Linked DNA regions of Mus musculus. The protein of the gene in region 1 purifies or fractionates together with the protein of each later gene. This does not show direct contact. Links are inferred from orthologs where the notes say so. Each region holds a gene or a part of one and is shown on either strand. Other genes may lie near its edges.

Region 1 (3,560 bases):
GAGTGCTGGGATTAAAGGCATGCACCACCACGCCCAGCTGAAATTTCATTTTATTAATGACACACTTTTCTTGTGGCAATATACTTTGAGTCATAGGAAATTGATTATTGTGCTCAATTGAGTATTGAGAAATGGCTGCATTGTGTATCATGGTTTAACCTGATAGTTTAAATAAGGCATGACTGATAGTGGCAGCTGTGCTTCCCGGGTTGCGGTAAGTCACGTCTCATGAACACTCAGTACTCCCTGGCCACCGTACTCTGTCATCAGTGTTTCTTTATTTTTGTTTTCCTTAGTTCTTTGATCTTCTGATGTCTAGAGTACACGTTTTTCTGATACTCAAAGTAGAAGGAACTAAAGACGAATAATAAGTAGAAAACATTAGGGCACATGGGACTTTGAGCTGGATTCCTTGCCACTGACTCCTTATGCTAGAAGTCCTGTTGAAGCTGGGTGTGGTGGTCCACGCCTTTAATCCCAGCACTTGGAAGGTGGAGCCAGGGAGATCCTGTTAGTTCATAGCCAATCTGGTCTACATAATGGTTTCAGGACAGTCAGCTCTGTAGAGAGACCCTGATTCAAAAACAATAACAAACAAAAAGACCTGCTGAAAAGAAGTCTCCATGTCGCGGCATGGCAGATGGGGAGGCAAACTCAGTTAATTAAATGGATATTATAAAATATGTAAGTGGGATGTATATTCGCACATGTTTTAGATATTTTTCATAACTGAAATGTGATAGCAAATGCTGGATCTGGTGGCGCACACCCATGATCCCAGGACTTGACAAGCTGAAAGAGTATGACCGTGAGTGTGTTTCCAGCCTGGGCTATGGAGTGAAGATTCCACCTCAAAAACCAGTCAGATACCCTTAAAAACCATTATTCTTTTCAGTGTTTGCTTTGTTTGTTTGTTTTTAAGTTTTAGTATAGTTCTTGTTATGGTTCCATGTCCTTTCATATATAGAATTAATGAATACAATATGAAATTGTTCAGAGGTTGGTCTTTTGAGTCATAGAACTGGGTTGAAAGGACGAGGGTAGATTTTAAATGGATGAATTGTTTATCGTGAAACTCAGCATGGAGTAAGAATGCATAGGATGATATTGCACACTGTTTTTGTTAGTAAGCTCTTTTCCTATAACATGAAATAGTGTAAAAAGTGAAGCCACACAACATAGTTTCTTTCTGGGCTGGAAAAAGACTGTCCTCAGTCATTGTCCTTTGGGTAGACATACCAAATTTGGCTGCCTTGATCCTCAAAAATTAGTGGCAGGGGACTAGAGAGATGGCTCGGCTGTTAAGAGCACTGGCTGCTTTTCCAGAGGTCCTGAGTTCAATTCCCAGCAACCACATGGTGGCTCACACCCATCTACGGTAGGTTCCAATGCCTTCTTCTGGTGTGCAAATTGTACATACAGACAAAATACCCATACACATAAAAGTATATAAATAAAAAATAGGTTGTAGACTAATGTTTTTCTCAGCATATTCAATGAAGTATGAGCTAGAAGGGGAAACCAGTTTAAAGAGAACAACTGTAATAATGTAGCATGAGTATGAACTCATTCATATCCTAAACTCTGGAAACTATTACTTTTATTCTTGGTTTAACTGAAAACCCTTCTTCCACCATTGCTGTCTCTCTTAGGGAACACGAGTGGTTTAAACAGGACCTTCCGAAGTATCTCTTTCCTGAGGACCCATCTTATAGTTCAACCATGATCGATGACGAAGCCTTGAAAGAAGTGTGTGAGAAGTTCGAGTGTTCGGAGGAGGAGGTCCTCAGCTGCCTGTACAACAGAAACCACCAGGACCCACTAGCCGTCGCCTACCACCTCATCATAGACAACAGGAGAATAATGAATGAAGCCAAAGATTTCTACCTAGCAACCAGCCCACCTGACTCTTTCCTGGACGACCACCATTTAACTCGGCCTCACCCTGAAAGAGTACCGTTCTTGGTTGCCGAAACACCACGGGCCCGGCACACCCTGGATGAATTAAACCCACAGAAATCCAAACACCAAGGTGTACGGAAGGCAAAATGGCATTTGGGAATTCGAAGTCAAAGCCGACCCAATGATATCATGGCAGAAGTTTGTAGAGCAATCAAGCAGTTGGATTATGAATGGAAGGTAAGAAGGCAAGTGCTCTCTCTGTTTGGTGAGCCTGTAGCCAAAGCCCTTTGTAGGAGAACTGATGTGATGATGTGCCTTTGTTTTTGTCCATATCCAATGCTAGGTTGTAAACCCCTATTATTTGCGTGTACGAAGGAAGAATCCTGTGACAAGCACATTTTCCAAAATGAGTCTACAGCTATACCAAGTGGATAGTAGGACTTACTTGTTGGATTTCCGTAGTATTGATGGTATGTACACGCAGAACCCTGGAGGTCATGTAGTTATATAGCCTGCTTACCTCATTTGCTTTATAGTCTTTGTTTTCTTTCTTTCTTTTTTGAATAAAAACTAAGCATGCAAAGTAGTAAGCTTCATATGGCGCCTTCCTCCCTTCTCTCTCTCTAGCTTTTCTATCCTCCCTCCCTCCCTCCCTCCCTCCCTCCCTCCCTCCCTCCCTCCCTCCCTCCCTCCCTCCCTCCCTCCCTCTGCATGTGTCTCAGAACACATGGGACAGGCTGCAGAAGTCAATGTCAGGTACCGTCCTCCTTCACCTTCCATCTTGCTTTGGAGACAAGGTCTCTTTGCACACGGGTGGTTGCCCTTCAGGGTACACTCACGGGCCAGCAAGCTCCAGGGATCATTTAATTTCCGACTTCCAGCTTTGGCGTAATGGGCGTGCCCTCGCTGGCCTGGCTTTGACATGGGTCTGGGGATCAGCGGCAGGGCCTCCTTATCTACTGAGCCTTCTCCCCAGCCCCCCAGTGCACGCTGCCATACATGTCCTGCGTCCTTGGCATCCTCCTCACTGCCCTCCACCTCAGCTATGTCTTAGGAAGCTTCCTGGCCTTTTCCTGCTAATTCATAGGAAACATGACTTCCTATGTTCTGCAAGACTGACGTTTGTGAAACCTGTTATTCTTGCTCCATGTAGCATATTGATTTATAGATTATTGGGGCTAGGGATTTAGGTCAGTATTGAAGTTCTTGCTTCACTGGCTTCAATCACCATCACCTGACTATTGTTCTGTAAAATCTTTAAAAATATACAGGGTTTTTGTTTGTTTGTTTTGCTTATGCTCTAAGTGATGTTTGAGAAGCTGCAGGGTAAGAGCGCTGATCTGAGGTGGGGAGGGTCGAGCTCTTGAGAGGTGGGAACTGTCCCTTTGGTGCCTTGGACAAGTCCCTCAACTTCTGGCTTTTTATATCTGTAAAATGGTTCCTAGGTGAGACAAGTTCCAAGATACCTTTCATACTGCAAGTGATCGATTCTGTATTTTTTGTTTTGTTTTGTTTTTGAGACAGGGTTTCTGTGTAGCTCTGGCTGTCCTGGAACTCATTCTGTAGACCAGGCTGGCCTCAAACTCCCAGAGTTGTCTTTGCCTCCTAATTGATGGGACTAAAGGTGTGCTTGCCACTACCCAGTGAGTCTGTGGTTT
Region 2 (4,085 bases), on another chromosome or scaffold:
GGCTGAGCAAGCCATGAGGAACAAGCCAGTAAGCGGTATTTCTCAGTGGTGTTTGCTTCAATTCCTGTCTCCAGGTTCCTGTCCTGAGACTTGACTCCTCGCTACCCACCCCCACCCCAGGGATGGACGGTAACTCATAAGCTAAAACAAACCCTTTCCTCCCCAAGTTGCTTTTGGTTGTTATCTTTCTCACAGCCACTGAAAGCAGACTAAGACACTTGGTCGGCTGAAGTTTGACTGTGTCAGCTTACAGGCCATCACTTCTAACATGAATGTTGGGAGCTGTTTTCCCCATTCTCTGCTTCCCCACAGCTGCAGCAGTAGCGTGTACTATGTAATTATTCATAAACTATTTTGTGAGGGCTGGGGAGACAGCTCATCAGGTAAAGTGGGTGCCATGAAACATGAAGAGGGGGTTCAGAGCCTCAGTGTATAAGGTAGAGATGGATGAGAAACACCTATGAAAGCTTTGGGCCTTCACACACTAGTTCACACGTGTATATGTGTTCCTACACACATACAAACATACCACATAACACACTTATGTAAACCATGTACATATACATCTTGTAAATGAAGAAAAGACCCAGCCTCATTGTATGTGTGTGTGAGTTTGTGTGGGAGTGGAGGTGGGTATCCTCAGTGGTCAGAAGGTTTTGGAGTTCCCTGGAGCTGGCGTTTCAGTGATTGTGGGTGCTGAGAACCGAACACTGGTTCTCTGAAGCACAGCAGTGGTTGTTAACCAGCACAGCAACGAATGTTTCAAGTCGCATCTTCAAGACTCAGGGACACTCGCCTTTGAGAAGCCACATCCGTGCTCTCCAGTTCCCCTGGTGCTTTTAAGCCTAGTGCTTCAGCCTATATTAAAATGTCTTTATTAAACCCCATCTCTGCTTCATAAAATTTTTTAAAAAGACTTCCTTGGCTATTGTAATACAGGTGACCTTATGCAAGTGTTTCATAGTTTTAAACTCATTTAAATTGTGGCTTGTTCAATCATAGCGTAGATTTGAAACATAGCTATTGTCAATGAACCTGCTCTCCACATAGACCGGGCCTAGCAGTGGGCGGTAAAAACAGGACTCAAATCCTTTAAAGTAAGGTTTGATCATAGAGTTGAACCTTGCTAATTCCTAGAGGGCACTTCCGGAATCTTGGCGGGAGAGCGAGGCTCTTTGGTTTGCTTTCCGGAAAACCTCTCCAGCCTCTCTCCAGAGCGTGGGACCGGAGCATCCCGCCCCCTCCCGTGAGTGCGGCTTTCCGATTGGTGAGAAACACAGGGGGCGAGGCTCCGGCCATGTCGGCGCAGGCGCACTGGCTTTGCGTGACTGAAGAGCGCCCGACTCAGGTATTGAGTTGCTGCTGGTGAGCATCGGTGGCCGCTGGACTTGGAGGGTGGCTAGGAAGGGCCCAGCGAATCTAGGGACAGTTTCTGGGCACGCGCACCCACGATCTGGTGTCTGCTGTCTCGCGTGCATCCTCTCAGTCGCCACAGGCTATTGGATAGTCGTGTGCTCGGTTGCAGTTCACCTTTCCCCATCTCCACCCCCGCTGTTTGAGAGCAACACTTCCGCCCTAGTTATCCTTGCGTGGCCCTTACTTAGAGGCACAGAGTTCCTAAAAGGGCCCATTTTGGACCGGTCCCGGGGATGACCTGGTGGCTCAGCCGCCTTAGGGTTCTAAAGAGGAATGAAGTGACCGCAGTACGCTCACTCCTCGTAAAGGCCAAGATAGAGCAGGGGTTGGAAGTTTCATCGCTGTTGTATGCTGCGCTGACGTTGGTGGTATTTGGAGGCAAATTCCCGCAATCCAGAATGGCCATGGGCCTTTTGATGTCACCTGACACAAATCAGAGCCTATGACCCTATGATCCATCTCAGAGCCTATGAATTGGGCATCATAATACACAAACCTTTAGGGCACTAGGCATTGCAAGCACACTGTGTGCAGTTTTCCTGACTGGATCGTGTGTGTGTTCATGTACTGTGTACCTGAAATAGGGCGAAGGCAGGGAAAAGGCCTCTTACAGGTGAGATCTGCGGTACACTCGAAAGGCAGCAAGAAACTGTCATTACCAATGCCTGTGTTAAGTTGAAAGTGTAAGGAATGCAAGGAGGCCAGTAGAGACTGTTTTAACAGTCACGGATGATGGTATCTTGAACTGAGGTGCAGGCTGGTCAGGTGGAGCAGGCTGGGCCAGAGGACTAAAAACTGTGACAGTACTGTGGAGCAGAGTAGATGAGGGCAGGTTTCTGGTTTGGCCAGAGGGTGCTTTGCAGGGTGATACTCAGATCTGCAGGGGCACCATTGTCTGAAGAGATTCTGCCTCACTAAGTTTCAAATAGCGTGTACTATGTTCTCCAAAGATGGGAGAATATATAGGTCAGAAATTCAACAGTTTGGACAGTGAAGATGCAAACTGACCAGGAATGTGTGGTGGGTGAGAGGAGCAGTTAAAACAATATTGACTTTTTTGTTGCGGCAGATTTTCATTTCCTCCGATGTCCTGGAACTCAGATGTGCAAACCTAGCTGATTCTCTTACCTCTGGCTCCCAAGTGCTGGGATTACAAATATGCCTCAGCGCCTAGCAATACTGACTTAGTAGGGATCGAGACAAGGAATTGAAGAAAAAACAAACAAACAAAAACCAAAAAAAGCCTGCTCTTCGCTGTTGCCTGTGAGATTGCAATTGACTTGTTTCAGGGTCTCTCCCCAGTGTTCTGAAATAGTAACAATATCAAACATCCACCAGGCTCATGGCCTGTGCCAAAAACTGTTGTGAGAATTTTTTCTACCTTTAAAAAAATTCTCAACAGTAAATGTACAAGGCTGATCTGGTGGTTATATCATTTCATGATGAAACTCTAGCACACGGGTAGCTACAGATGTGGCAGGCTGCTGGAAGTGGCCAGTGGAAGTTGGTTTAGAGCCGACTGCCTTATCTAGAGCCTGCGCATAACTGGATGCTATCTCCACAACAGGCTGGTAACATTTTCATAATCAGAAGAATATGACTTTCTGTTGTTGCTGCTGCTATTGGTTTTTTGTCTGTTTTGTTTGTTTTTGTATTTTTTAAAAAAGGTCTCTCTACATAGCCCTTACTGTTCTGGCACTCACTATGTACCAGACTGGCCTCAAACTCAGAGATCTGCCTGTCTCTGCTTCTCAAGTACTGGAGTGCTGGGATTAAATGCATCTGCCACTATACCCAGATGGATTTCTTTAAGTGGTACTGTGATGTGCTGGGCTAATAGACATGGAAGGATCCACATCTTGGATCCCGTGCTGAGAACCAAGTTAATCGTCATCCCACGTGACTCATTTTTCTCCAGGTGCCAGGGTGTCATGGAAGGTCTGCTGACAAGATGCAGAACACTGTCTGCCTTGGCTGCCTGCAGCCTCCGTCACTGCAGATACATCATCCACAAGTGTTACCATCGTGCGCCCGGGAGAGGGCAGCGCTTGGTATTATCCCGCATGTTCCAGCCTCAGAACCTTCGGGAAGACCAGGTGCTTTCTCTGGAGGGCAGAGCTAGCGACCTGACCTGTAAGAGCCAGCGGCTGATGCTGCAAGTGGGCCTGATCCTTCCAGCCAGCCCTGGCTGTTACCACCTCATGCCCTATACAGTGCGTGCCGTGGAGAAGCTTGTGCGGGTGATAGACCAGGAGATGCAGGCCATCGGCGGGCAGAAAATCAACATGCCCAGCCTCAGCCCAGCTGAGCTGTGGCGGGCCACCAGCCGCTGGGACCTGATGGGCAGGGAGCTGCTGAGACTGAGAGACAGGCACGGCAAAGAGTACTGCTTGGGACCGACTCATGAGGAAGCGGTTACAGCCCTGGTTGCCTCCCAGAAGAAACTTTCCTACAAGCAGCTCCCCTTGTTGTTGTACCAGGTTACAAGGAAGTTTCGGGATGAGCCCAGGCCCCGGTTTGGTCTTCTCCGTGGCCGGGAGTTCTATATGAAGGACATGTACACCTTTGATTCCTCCTCTGAGGCTGCCCAGGAAACCTACGGCCTGGTGTGTGATGCTTACTGTAGGCTGTTTGACAGGCTGGGATTGCAATGGATGAAGGCCAGGGCA

Evidence for each region. The genes of interacting proteins can lie anywhere in the genome.
Region 2: the proteins of Prkaa1 (region 1) and Pars2 purify together in Homo sapiens (affinity purification with mass spectrometry; 3 studies listed by BioGRID and IntAct, with this or other methods). This does not show direct contact. The link is inferred for Mus musculus from reciprocal best matches to the Homo sapiens genes PRKAA1 and PARS2.

The regions. Positions count from the first base shown.
Region 1 is NC_000081.6:5,174,834-5,178,393, forward strand, and holds part of Prkaa1 (5'-AMP-activated protein kinase catalytic subunit alpha-1), read left to right. Parts: intron 1-1,652; coding exon 1,653-2,139; intron 2,140-2,245; coding exon 2,246-2,372; intron 2,373-3,560. UniProt on the Homo sapiens protein: Catalytic subunit of AMP-activated protein kinase (AMPK), an energy sensor protein kinase that plays a key role in regulating cellular energy metabolism.
Region 2 is NC_000070.6:106,649,784-106,653,868, forward strand, and holds the start of Pars2 (probable proline--tRNA ligase, mitochondrial), read left to right. Parts: upstream 1-1,285; 5' UTR 1,286-1,348; exon of another isoform or gene 1,349-1,365; intron 1,366-2,485; exon of another isoform or gene 2,486-3,239; coding exon of another isoform or gene 3,240-3,347; coding exon 3,348-4,085. UniProt on the Homo sapiens protein: Mitochondrial aminoacyl-tRNA synthetase that catalyzes the specific attachment of the proline amino acid (aa) to the homologous transfer RNA (tRNA), further participating in protein synthesis.